3 linked regions of the Arabidopsis thaliana genome follow. The protein of the gene in region 3 interacts with the protein of the main gene of each other region in a pairwise test. Each region holds a gene or a part of one and is shown on either strand. Other genes may lie near its edges.

What was found. The genes of interacting proteins can lie anywhere in the genome.
Region 1: the proteins of RABA1e (region 3) and AT4G33905 interact in a two-hybrid assay, tested with the Arabidopsis thaliana proteins (one large-scale study listed by BioGRID).
Region 2: the proteins of RABA1e (region 3) and AT1G21790 interact in a two-hybrid assay, tested with the Arabidopsis thaliana proteins (one large-scale study listed by BioGRID).

Annotation. Positions count from the first base shown.
Region 1 is NC_003075.7:16,253,214-16,257,483, reverse strand, and holds AT4G33905 (Peroxisomal membrane 22 kDa (Mpv17/PMP22) family protein), read left to right. Parts: upstream 1-1,723; 5' UTR 1,724-1,891; coding exon 1,892-2,233; intron 2,234-2,559; coding exon 2,560-2,788; intron 2,789-3,053; coding exon 3,054-3,178; intron 3,179-3,329; coding exon 3,330-3,419; 3' UTR 3,420-3,732; downstream 3,733-4,270. Other genes in the region: AT4G33910 (2-oxoglutarate (2OG) and Fe(II)-dependent oxygenase superfamily protein), read left to right, coding at 1-10, 80-145, 232-351, 455-541.
Region 2 is NC_003070.9:7,652,495-7,656,519, forward strand, and holds AT1G21790 (TRAM, LAG1 and CLN8 (TLC) lipid-sensing domain containing protein), read left to right. Parts: upstream 1-1,593; 5' UTR 1,594-1,862; coding exon 1,863-2,121; intron 2,122-2,398; coding exon 2,399-2,676; intron 2,677-2,867; coding exon 2,868-3,197; 3' UTR 3,198-3,487; downstream 3,488-4,025. Other genes in the region: AT1G21780 (BTB/POZ domain-containing protein), read left to right, coding at 1-94, 174-319, 560-675, 767-1,372.
Region 3 is NC_003075.7:10,183,171-10,187,013, reverse strand, and holds RABA1e (RAB GTPase homolog A1E), read left to right. Parts: upstream 1-1,630; 5' UTR 1,631-1,790; coding exon 1,791-2,011; intron 2,012-2,678; coding exon 2,679-3,111; 3' UTR 3,112-3,343; downstream 3,344-3,843. Other genes in the region: AT4G18440 (L-Aspartase-like family protein), read left to right, coding at 1-5, 87-188, 254-322, 411-629. UniProt on the Arabidopsis thaliana protein: Intracellular vesicle trafficking and protein transport.

The DNA.
Region 1 (4,270 bases), 6.1 Mb from region 3:
AAGCCAAAGGGTAAAATCCTTAAATCTGTCATATTTATAGCTTTCTTTAGAACCCGAGACCTCATTTGAATTTACGCAGATTGCCTCCTTCCTGTTGTACTTATCTGATGTTGAAGAAGGCGGTGAAACCATGTTCCCATTTGAGGTCAGTTTATAATATATTATTTGCTTACTTATTATACAGACCCTTTCGTTAGTTTTGATTCCATTTAAACGCTTTCTATTTAACAGAACGGTTCTAATATGGGCATCGGATACGATTACAAGCAATGTATTGGGTTGAAAGTAAAGCCTCGGAAAGGAGATGGTCTTCTTTTTTATTCCGTGTTTCCAAATGGAACGATTGATCAGGTAAACAAAGTTTGAACACATTTCATTTCTTCTCTTGACTCCTATTCCTTGGATTAGTTCATGCTAATAGGAGCTCTTTGCTGTGGTTCCAATGCTTCTGCAGACTTCGCTTCACGGGAGCTGCCCGGTGACCAAAGGAGAGAAATGGGTGGCAACCAAATGGATCAGAGACCAAGACCAGGAAGAATAAGTTAGGTTTTTTTCCATATATCTATCTCAGTCTCACAGCTTCTATCTTTTGACTAAAAATCTGCTGCTGGATCCCTCGTGTACAGTTCTTCGCTGAAACAGTGTAACTATTTAGCTTTCTTATAATGCGAATGATACAAAAATTAAAACCTGATAATGAAAACTTGGTTCGAAATATCATTTGAACAATAGAAGTTTCTTGTTGTTTGATATTTCAGTAAAAGAAATATAAGAACTTATAAGATTAACACAGAAGTGATGACAAGTGTGGATCGATTTGGGTGTTCTGATTACTTGGTATTGAGTATTTACTGCTCGTTTGAGTCCGTCAAGTCTCTTGTTAATTTGCAATGTGTACTAATTTTTTCCCTTATAACTTAACAAAATGTGTTGTATGATTGTATTTGTATCTATTAAATGGAAAATTATTTTGTCCATGTTATATATATAAAAAATGTATCTGAGCTTACACACCAGGGACCATCTTTTTATTCGAGTTTTTGTGGACACATGAGTCATGAGTGATACCGATAATAATTTTTGTTTTTTTTTGTGTGTGTGACATCATCTACGTTTAGTTTGGTTTAGAATCTTCGAAAAATTGCCGACAGAAAATAAGAGAATCTTCTCTTCCAATGATCTACGTTCTTTTTGACTAAATATATAAAAATAAAAGAGTTCATAAAAAGTGGCTAAAAGTCGGAACTTGGGACACGAACGCAACACGTGGCTTCTACTAAAGGTTAGCGTCACTGAATTAAGTTTTACGTGTCAGAAGTGATGACGTCGACACTAACCAATGTGAACAGGACGTGTAAACAACCCTAGAACACTACAGAACAGAAACAGTTTGGGGATGTTTGGTTTTTGAACCGTCCACCTTTGACGGTCACGCGCTCTTCAGCCTTCAGGCACTCTTTCCTCCGCCTAACATAGAAATTGGAAAGGTTATTTTCTCCAATAATTTGGCTTGGCTTTTGAGTTTATTGAGTGATTAGCTAATAATAAATAATAATCAATTTGTTGGCTTATATATAATCAATGTGCTAAGTAACACTATAGCTTTCACAAAAACTTCGGTTATTAGGAAAGATCTCGACAATTCTGTATCTAGAAAAGGCATGATTAATTAATTTATTAAGAACAAAACTAATTTATGAAGAACGATTGCAATGGTACGAGACGCGAGTAGAAAAACCTTTATACTCGCGAAATATACAAATTGTGTGTTTCATTATTTATTGGCATTTAAACTTTTTAAAAAAACAGAGCTCTGTTTCTTCTTCTCCACCGCCGTTATATATAAAACCCTTCCCTGAACCCCCAAAACTCTCGGAGCCATCACACGACAATGACCGGCGCATTGTTTAGAAACGCTGCTTCCGACGCCGCTCGGATCTTTCGATTACAGCGAGCAACGATGACGAATCCTTTTGGAAAGCTCGACCCTTTACCGATAGGAGGAAACATCCAGCGATTGCAGTCGAGGCCTTTTTATCGTACGCCTCAGTTTCTCGGGAAAGCAAAGGAAACAGGTGTCTCTGGTTTCTGTTCGTCTTCGTCTTCGTCTTCTTCGACGGTCTCTACAGCAGGATTCATCGGATGGTATTTGGGAATGGTGAAATCTCGGCCGGTTCTTACCAAATCCGTCACGTCCTCGCTTATTTACATAGCAGCCGATTTGTCTTCGCAGGTAATTTCAAAAATCTATCTCATTTTTGTTTTGTAAGCCTACAAATCAGATTTTAGATATTCTGTGATTATGTTCTTGTTGATTCAGTCCTAAGATTCCATTGTGTTTTCTAACAAATGGTAATAGTAGAAGTCACTGTATCTCCATTGTGCTTTAGAGATTTGAGATAGGACAAGAATTACTTCTAGATTAAGAAGTAATGATCGATTCTTAGTAATGTGGATGTAGTAGCGGGTTTTATGTGAATTGAGTTGTTATATTTGCTTACGTTTCTTTGTTCTTGTATTGTTGTTGACAAAAGTGTGACTTGTTTGATCTTTCAACAGACAATTCCACAAGCTTCAGTGGATTCTTATGACTTGGTAAGAACAGCAAGGATGGGAGGATATGGGTTATTAATCTTGGGTCCTACACTTCACTATTGGTTCAATCTCATGTCAAGTCTCTTCCCAAAACGAGATTTGATCACAACGTTTAAGAAAATGGCCATGGGACAGACAGTCTATGGGCCTGCCATGAATGTTGTTTTCTTCTCACTGAATGCAGCCCTACAGGGTAAGCTTTCAGCTGTACATGAAAAATAATCAACTGGTTCCTTTCTTATAGTCTATATATTCTTCTTTGAGCAACATATAAAAGTATGATTTTTCTGAAACTCTAGATCCTGTTGACCTTCAATCTTAAGGGTTGTTATAGAGCAGGTTGTTTGATGTTACATTCTTTCTCTAAATGGCGTTTGAAGAGAGGAGAATTGTTGTTAGAATTTGATCCTAAGCTATTCTTGATGACATCAAAGTCTGATTTTCAATTATTTTTTCAGGTGAAAATGGTTCAGAGATAGTTGCTAGATTGAAAAGGGACCTACTTCCCACAATGCTTAATGGTGTCATGTATTGGCCTTTGTGTGATTTTATTACTTTCAAGTTCTGCCCTGTTTATTTACAGGTATGTATGATTGATACCTACCACTTTATTTCCAACTTAGCTTCACTTTGGTTAACCTTTTGTTCAAGACAGATCATATATTTGCTGCATTCATTTTGTCTTATCGTGAGTTTTGGTTATCAACTGAAGTCTGGTTTCTTTTTGTCTGCAGCCACTTGTGAGCAACTCGTTTTCGTATCTATGGACAATCTACATAACTTATATGGCAAGCCGTGCGACGCCAACCGCCATTGAAATTTGAAAAAGCTCTCTGGGAAACTCTCTCAGTTTAGAAATGAAGAAATGAAGCCAAAAAACACTTTTACTAAAAGAAACAGGGCATTCTTCAACATTCTTTGTTTCCTCTCTCCAGATTTTAGGAGGATATAATGTAAGGAGTTTTGGGGAAAACTGTGCATTTGGACATGTCTTACACTCTTAGATTTAATTCAATTCTATGTTTAGTATTCCATGTAATATTTGAGTAAAATGGTGGTTCTTTAGCTTCGATCAACTTTTTGAGTCTTTACCAGGCAAAGGAAACTGTTGACACAAGTCTTTTATATTAATCCTTAGTTACATCAGTACGGTTAACAAAGACGGAAAATTTACACGAGACCAACGGAGTCAAACCAAATGCTATGTATGCTAAAATATGGTTTTTGTTCTCAATCTTATACGCGTCCCAGATTGGTAGGGTAGCAGGTAGCAGTGCGACAGCTTGTAACAAAAAAAATTGATATGCCAAATGTATTGTTTTCTCATAACAGTAAGTAAAATTTTAGAAATTTAGGGTCCTTTCTTGTACGTAGGTCCGCATATATATCTGTACCAGAAGAAAGAGCACACAAAGAACAAAACAAAACAATTTAGTAAAAAGGAATGATAAAAAAAAAAAGTAAATTCTTCTAGTTCTTTTTTTGAATATCAGTAAATTCTTCAAGTGAAGAGAATATACGTTTTGTTATAGAAAATTAGAAACTTACTATACTTCCAAACACGTTGAAAAACTCCCAATGAGATTAGGAATCTATATATAAACAATATAGACAAGAATAGTCGAGACAAAAAGAAGCTTATGCAAAAAACAATTTCTTACTTTTTTTTGTTTTG
Region 2 (4,025 bases), on a different chromosome or scaffold from region 3:
AGACAATCTCGAGGTTAGCTCAATGGAGAATTGAAAATTTTGGTCCTTGTTCTTTCAAAAAGTCCGATCCTTTCAAAGTCGGAATTTGGAATTGGTAAGCTTTTCATTTTTGGTTTATTTTGGTAAATTTTCTTCGGAATTTTGATTTTTGTTTGTTTTGGGATATGATGAAGGCATCTGTCTATAGAGAGGAATCGCTATCTATCAGTGAGGCTATTCCCAGAACTTTCTCGAGTATCTAAAGAGCAACCTCCTGTTGCCAAATTTGTTCTTCGTGTCTCCAACGTTGGCCCCAATCGTAGATTCTACATCTCTCCTGGTATGTCTTGTCTTTGAATTGACTTTTCTGGATTTGGAATTTGAATTCTATTGTCGAGCTCGAATTAGGTATTTCAGGAAAGGGAATTACCTTTTATGTGGGAACTATATTCAATTATGTGGAATCTGAAAGATATTAATTTAGATGTTAATGATTGGCTGATGATTAGTAGTACCTTATGGGATGGTTACAACTGAATTAGGTTTGTTTAAGCTGAGATACTCTGTTTATTTGGTGCAGTTTATGAGAAGCTGCTGCGTACAACTGATGATTGTGTGTGGCATGTTGACTCCAGTTTCCACGGTCGATTCACCATTGATGTTGAGTTTCTTGATCTCAAAATCTGCCCTGTGAATGTAAGCTTAATGATTCTATTTATACTCTCACAATTTCTTCTCTTTGTAACATTTGTACTTCCATGGTTGATCAAATCAAATCATAATCCAGGGTGGTGAAGCTTCTCCTGTTTGGCCAACCGATGCAACAATGCAATCAATCTCTACTCAAACCACTCTCAAATGCTTATCCCGGATGCTAGAGGAAAGCATACTAACCGATGTAATCATCCACACAGCCGATGGAACACTCTCTGCTCACAAAGCTATCCTCTCAGCTAGCTCAACTGTTTTCAAAAGCATGTTCCACCACGACCTCATGGAAAAGGAATCATCCACAATCCACATAGACGACATGTCGAGAGAATCTTGCATGGCTCTACTAAGTTACCTCTACGGAAACATAACCCAAGAAGAGTTCTGGAAACACAGGCTCGCCCTCCTCGGCGCTGCAAACAAGTACGACATAACGGATTTGAAAGCAGCCTGCGAGGAGAGCCTAATGGAAGATATAAACTCGAGTAATGTGCTCGAGAGGCTACAAGAAGCTTGGCTTTATCAGCTGGAGAAACTGAAGAAAGGGTGTTTGATGTATTTGTTTGATTTCGGAAAGATTTATGATGTCAGAGAAGAAATCAGCAGTTTCTTCAGGCAAGCTGATCGAGAACTGATGCTGGAGATGTTTCAAGAGGTTTTGTCTGTGTGGAAACCGGTCTAATATACACTTACACACATACTTTGAACATTTCAGCTTGATGGTGTTTTGTTTATAGTCTTCTTGTTCTCTTCTGTGTGTGTAACTAACAACAACTCTGGATTTTGTTGTATCACTCTGTCTAATGTATAGTATTGAGTGGATTTGCCTCTAGTTTGGTGTACCGAGCCTCTCAAATGGGCCGAGCCTTTCAAATGGGCTGTGACTAGGCCTAATGACTGTCGACATCGAATGTCGGCACAAAATATGATAATTTTGTCGATGTTGAAATCGTACGTTTTTTGTTTTAATTAGATGAGTCAGCATCAGGAGGATGAAGTATCGACCGACACGTGTCCGTTGCGTCCCAAAGTAAAGCTTATAACGTGAAGGCATTTGTATCGTCTCTTCCGCCAAAATTGGAAATGGATATCGAAGTTTGAGCTAAGAATCCAATTTAGGGTTAACTTTGCCGGATTCTCAAGCAATCTCCGAGAGAGACAGTGAGGTTTCGATGGCGAGGAACGGGATTGGGAGTTCAGGAGGGAAGAAGAATGGGGCTGGGCAGTTTTTCTTAGCGACGCTGCTTCTTTGGCTTGTCTCCGTCGTGTTTGAGATTGCTTTCAATCTCCGGACGGAGCTTCTCTGGGTGATTTGCGGTGGATGCTTCTTTCAATTGATGAATTGGGTTGTTCGTTCATGGATTTCTCGTGACCCTATATTTGTTAATACCTCTGTCTCGCTTTTGCACTCAATCATCACCTCCGCATCAGGTCCCTTTCTCTCTTCTCTTATATTTGAGTTCTTACTATAGGATTGTGCTCTGTTAGTGGGGAAATTTTATCATAGGTGTGCACATTGGTCGTTGGTATTAGTCAATTTTCCTTTGGTGCTGTGTTTTCACGGTTTCATTGCTTAATGTGATTCTTATTTCCGATTGGATTAGTCTTATGATTGATTGCCATAGCTTGAGTATAATGCAGTTCTTTCTTCGTTAAGCCTTACTGATTATGATTTTTCATCTTCAACACTGCTCTTGTGTTACTACAGTGGTTTTCATACTTCTCAATCAATGCTTAGCCAAAGGTTTAGACGAGATGTTTGATCATTCTGAGTTGGTTGGTGGGACTTGGAAATGGGCATATCCAGCTTTGTGTTTCTCATGCGGCTACTTTGCATATGACCAGTGGGATATGCTTCAGTACCGGTTATACAGCGGCTTAATACCTTCTATTCTTGTTCACCATCTAGTCCTCCTTGTTTGCTTCACATTGGCACTATACCGAAATGTAACCATCAACTACCTTATTCTTACTCTCATCTGTGAGGTACGTTCCACTTTTTTCTTCCTGAAAACTTGCCCTGGCTTTTCTCTGTTCTTTACCGAATCTATGCTAACATTCTCTAGTTAAACTAGACTAGTTTCATATATAACAATCTAGTTAGATATAGACTCAACTCTACAACATCTACTTGTTCGAACAAAAGTGACACCTCTGTTATTCGGATGTGTAAACAGATGCATTCGATCTTTCTACACGTGAGGAAGCTAAGGAGAATGGCAGGAATCCGAGACAGCAACACAGCATTGGTGAAACTGGAGTGGGTATTAAACTGGACAGCCTTTGTGTTTGCGAGATGCATTCCTCACATTCTCATCACTATCAAGCTGATCAAAGACGCACACAAGTTTGGGAAAGGCGTGGAGTTACCACTCGCTCTGTCTGGTATGGCAGGAATGAACATTCTTAATGTTGGCCTCGGGTTGGATCTGTTTCATGCTTTCAGAAGAGAGAGAAGCCACAGAAGAAACCAAGAGAACGGCAACCTTCACGACCATGGAGAATAATAGCTAATTTAGAGGCAATCCATTACCGAATCTATGGTTTGTTGTTGTATGAATACTACCCACTCATCTCTTGTTTATATCTGAGGCTTTGCTACTAAGTTCTAATAGCTTTCAGATTTGTATGTATCTCTCTATAGGAAAACTACATGTAAATGTTATTTCTTGATGATTACAGTCAACAGACTTTTTTTCTTCTTGTGTTTGGGGAAACGGAACCAAATTAGAATTTTGGTTTGATCTTTGGTTGTGATTTATATATCATAATCATTATATAAAAGTTAATCTTAATGAACTTTGGTTTATTCAGTTAAATTTTGGTATAATCTTTTCAATCTATTAGGAAAGTTTGTTTAGTGTTGAGTTGATGAAGTTTGGTCCGGTTCAGTTTCCACCAATGTTTGGAAGAAAAAAAAATGCAAGAGCATGAGAGGTCCTACCGGGAGTCGAACCCAGGTCGCTGGATTCAAAGTCCAGAGTGCTAACCACTACACCATAGAACCTCAGGTGCTTGTTCTGTTGCATGTACCAGTTTAGAATCTAATCCAAAATATTGTATTTTAGACACGACCAATGAATAGATTCAACATCAGCAGTTCAGCAGCACCACAGATTGCAGTTTTCTTTGTCTTTATCTAACCAAACAAAACAAAAATCAATATTTTACTTGGTGACAATGCATCATATGAGACCATCAAACTGGTGACAGTGAAATAACAAAGATGAATCTCACAAGACATAAACGTTAAGAAGATTACACTATGTAGCAAAAGAAACAAGGGTGATCTTTTTGCTACTAACAAGTCAGAATCTGAAAATTATGGTAAGAAA
Region 3 (3,843 bases):
TGCAGGTTTTAACATTTCTCCATATTCTATGTATCTCAGCTAGAGTGATGGAAGTAAACTAAGCCTGAAAAATGTACAATCTGCAGCGTGATTTAACTGATTCAACTGTCTTGAGAAACATGGGTGGAGCTTTAGGACACTCTCTTCTCGCTTACAAGAGTGCGATACAGGGAATCGGGAAGCTTCAGGTATTATTACCGTAGCCCTAAGAAATGTTTCCACTTGTCACAAACTAAGAATGTTCTTGATATAGGTTAATGAAGCTCGGTTAAAAGAAGATTTGGATGATAATTGGGAAGTCCTTGCTGAACCAATACAAACTGTAAATTTCTCGAGTTTCTAATCTTCTATATCAATCAAGATATTTGATGTATCTCTAATCCACAGAAGTATTATGGTATCAAATAAAGGTGATGAGGAGATACGGTGTCCCTGAGCCGTATGAGAAGCTGAAGGAGCTAACAAGAGGAAAAGCTGTGAATGAAGAAACCATAAGAACGTTTATCAAAGGTTTGGAATTGCCTTCAGAAGCAAAAGACCAACTTCTGGAGCTAACTCCACACACATATGTTGGTGCTGCTGCTGCATTGGCACTGGCCGTGGATGAAGCTCTGCACTTGGGACATTGATGATGATCAAAGTGGTGATAGATTGTCCTCTTTTATTATGGTATTCTTTTCGAAATTGGTGGAAAACAGAGACAATTTATAGGTCGGTGACTTGCAAGTCGTCGTTTAAAATGTTAAGAAAAATCTTGTACCATTGTTGTGTTATGTTTCCTCTTTGAGTGTCTGTGTTTTATCTAAGTCTTGAGCTATAAGCTGTGGTCAATGATTCTCGAACCAATACAAATTATTGTAATAAAATAGGTCATATACACATTGGTGTCAAATAATAAAGAGTTCTCAAGTTGAAATTCAATTTGAGTGGTTTTTGTTTTTCTTTATAACCAAGTGTTATGTAGGTATCAAAATCTAGCAAATATATATGCATATAGTAGTCAAATAAATTGTCCACAGAAACAAAACTGAGAAATAATAATGTTAAAATGTTGTTTGTCAATTAAGAGCTTTAAGTAATTCTTCTATTTATTGCTAACATTTACATGAACACAAATGTTTTAGCCTTTTAGGTCTAAAATAAATAATATAAGATCTATCTCAAAAACAAACTTACTAGTTTCCTTTAGACTTGATCTATTACTAAAAGTCTAGTACATGTGTCCAACAATAATCTCAACTCTACACTATATTTAGTGTCATATAAAAAAAATCCTTAGAAGTTAAAAATAGAAATGGAAAATTTCATGACAATATACCATAAAAAATCTTTTACCTAGATATCTTCCTACACATTGCTATAATTTTATTTATGAACAAATTTCCCTGTGATTTTATTTGAGAAAAGCTATAAATTGAATTATTGAATTGAAGACATAATAATATTGTTTTTTCCTGCAAGTGTATATTGTTCTGCGTTTACCAAGTTCATGGCGGCCATAAACCCGAAGATTTCGTCAAACATGTTTGTTCTCTAATCTTTCCAACGACTTTCAAAACATATACATATGCTAAGTCATGCATATAATAATAACAAATGATTGAATCCTAATATTATTCTTATTTTTATAACACTACCAAAACCAATAAGCCCTTTCGTCGTTACCCACTACCCATAATTTCATTTCATTACAAAACACAACAACACATCATTCATTTCATTAGATCATATTGCAACATCTCTCTGAATTCTTCTTTACGATTTTGTAACTTCTATCAAATACCTTAATAATGGGAGCCTACAGAGCCGACGACGACTACGATTATCTCTTCAAACTAGTCTTGATTGGAGATTCCGGCGTCGGAAAATCCAATCTTTTGTCTCGCTTCACCAGAAACGAATTCAGCATCGAGTCAAAGTCAACCATCGGTGTCGAGTTCGCCACAAGAAGTGTTCATGTCGACGAAAAAATCATCAAAGCTCAGCTTTGGGACACCGCTGGTCAAGAAAGGTAATAAATCCTCGAAATTTCACTGTTTTATCTCTATATGTTCTGTTTTGTTTCATTCTTTGAACCAAACCAAACCGAAATGGTTGAACAAAAATCAAACTGGATAATTTTACAAATTTGTTTGTTTTACTATTTTGAAACCAATATAAACTGATTTAGTGTAACCAAATAAACCGCATTTTTTTAGAAATCCTCTACTTTTGATTATGTATCTCTATGGAAATTAAATTGAAATAGTTATGTTACATTAATATAATATTAACTAGATCATGATTTATTTCAATTATCAATTTCGATTTTTTTTATAAATATAATATACTTTTAATTATGTATATGTATGGAAAATTGGAATAAGTATATTGCACTGATATAATATTTGACTAGATAATGATTTTATTTTAATAATCAATTTCTATAGATTAACCAAATATAACTTTCTTGGTAAAAAGTTTTTTTTGCTAAAAGGAACCAAATATAACTTAATTCAAATCAAGAACAAATTGGAAAATAAACCAGATTACAAATTATTTTATTTGGTTTTAATTTCTATTAACCGATATAATCAATAGCCGAAACTAACCAACCGTAAACCGATCTCCCACTCCTATGCTCTCTTTCTTCTCTATATGCTCTGTTTTTGAGTAATAGCGACTTATTTGTTATACAGATACAGAGCAATCACGAGTGCATACTACAGAGGAGCAGTGGGGGCACTTCTAGTATACGACATAACTCGACACATAACGTTCGAAAACGTTGAAAGATGGCTCAAGGAGCTTCGTGACCATACCGATGCCAACGTTGTAATCATGCTTGTTGGAAACAAAGCCGATCTTCGTCACCTTCGTGCAGTTCCCACAGAAGAAGCTAGATCATTCTCTGAAAGAGAAAACATGTTTTTCATGGAGACTTCTGCTTTGGATGCTACAAATGTCGAACAAGCTTTCACTCATGTCTTGACTCAAATCTATCGTGTAATGAGCCGTAAAGCTCTTGATGGTACTGGAGATCCGATGTCTTTACCTAAAGGACAAACCATTGATATCGGAAATAAGGATGATGTTACTGCTGTTAAATCTTCTGGTTGTTGCTCAGGTTGAGATTATTGTTTTTGTTTTTGTAAACTGTCTTTTTGGAAGAAGGCTTTGGCTTTGGTTTTGTTGTATTGGACTATTTTTGGGGGCTTCATTTTAAGGTTATGAGACCGGTTTGTTTTATAATACAAACCGAAGAATTGTATTGAATTGAACAAGACTTGGTCCGGTTAATAAGATAGTTTACTAATACCGAACTGATCAAACATATATGATCCCAAAAAGGGAACTATCAAACAACCATAATCTTAGCTTTTGGTGTAAGATTTAGTTATGATTTCTCTTTAGGACATGAGTAGCCGACTTGAATCGATACCAAAAGTCTGGTGCTAACAAAGCGAGAATCTGATAAACTTATTAGTAATGTGAATTATGATATGAACATTTTATCGTATCTAATCGAAAGATTATTAGCGTCCAAGAAAATAGCTTTTCTATACAACTAAATAGCATCGGCTAGTTTTTTTCTTAGGGTTTTTGAGTTCGAACCAGCGCAGGTACATGTTTAAAATATCTATTAGTAAACATATCGCATCAATATATATAAAAAGGAAATTAAACGTAACAAAAAAAAAATTAACTTACCAAACTTTAGAAATAATTGAAATAATTTACCAAAAACCAAAGAGAAGAAGAGGAAGATATGTATAACTTATTCCACACGGAAGCAAGTTAGGTCCACCGTCCAAATTATGAGAACACCTTTCCTTCCAAGTCTAAGGATGTTTATTGTTTCGT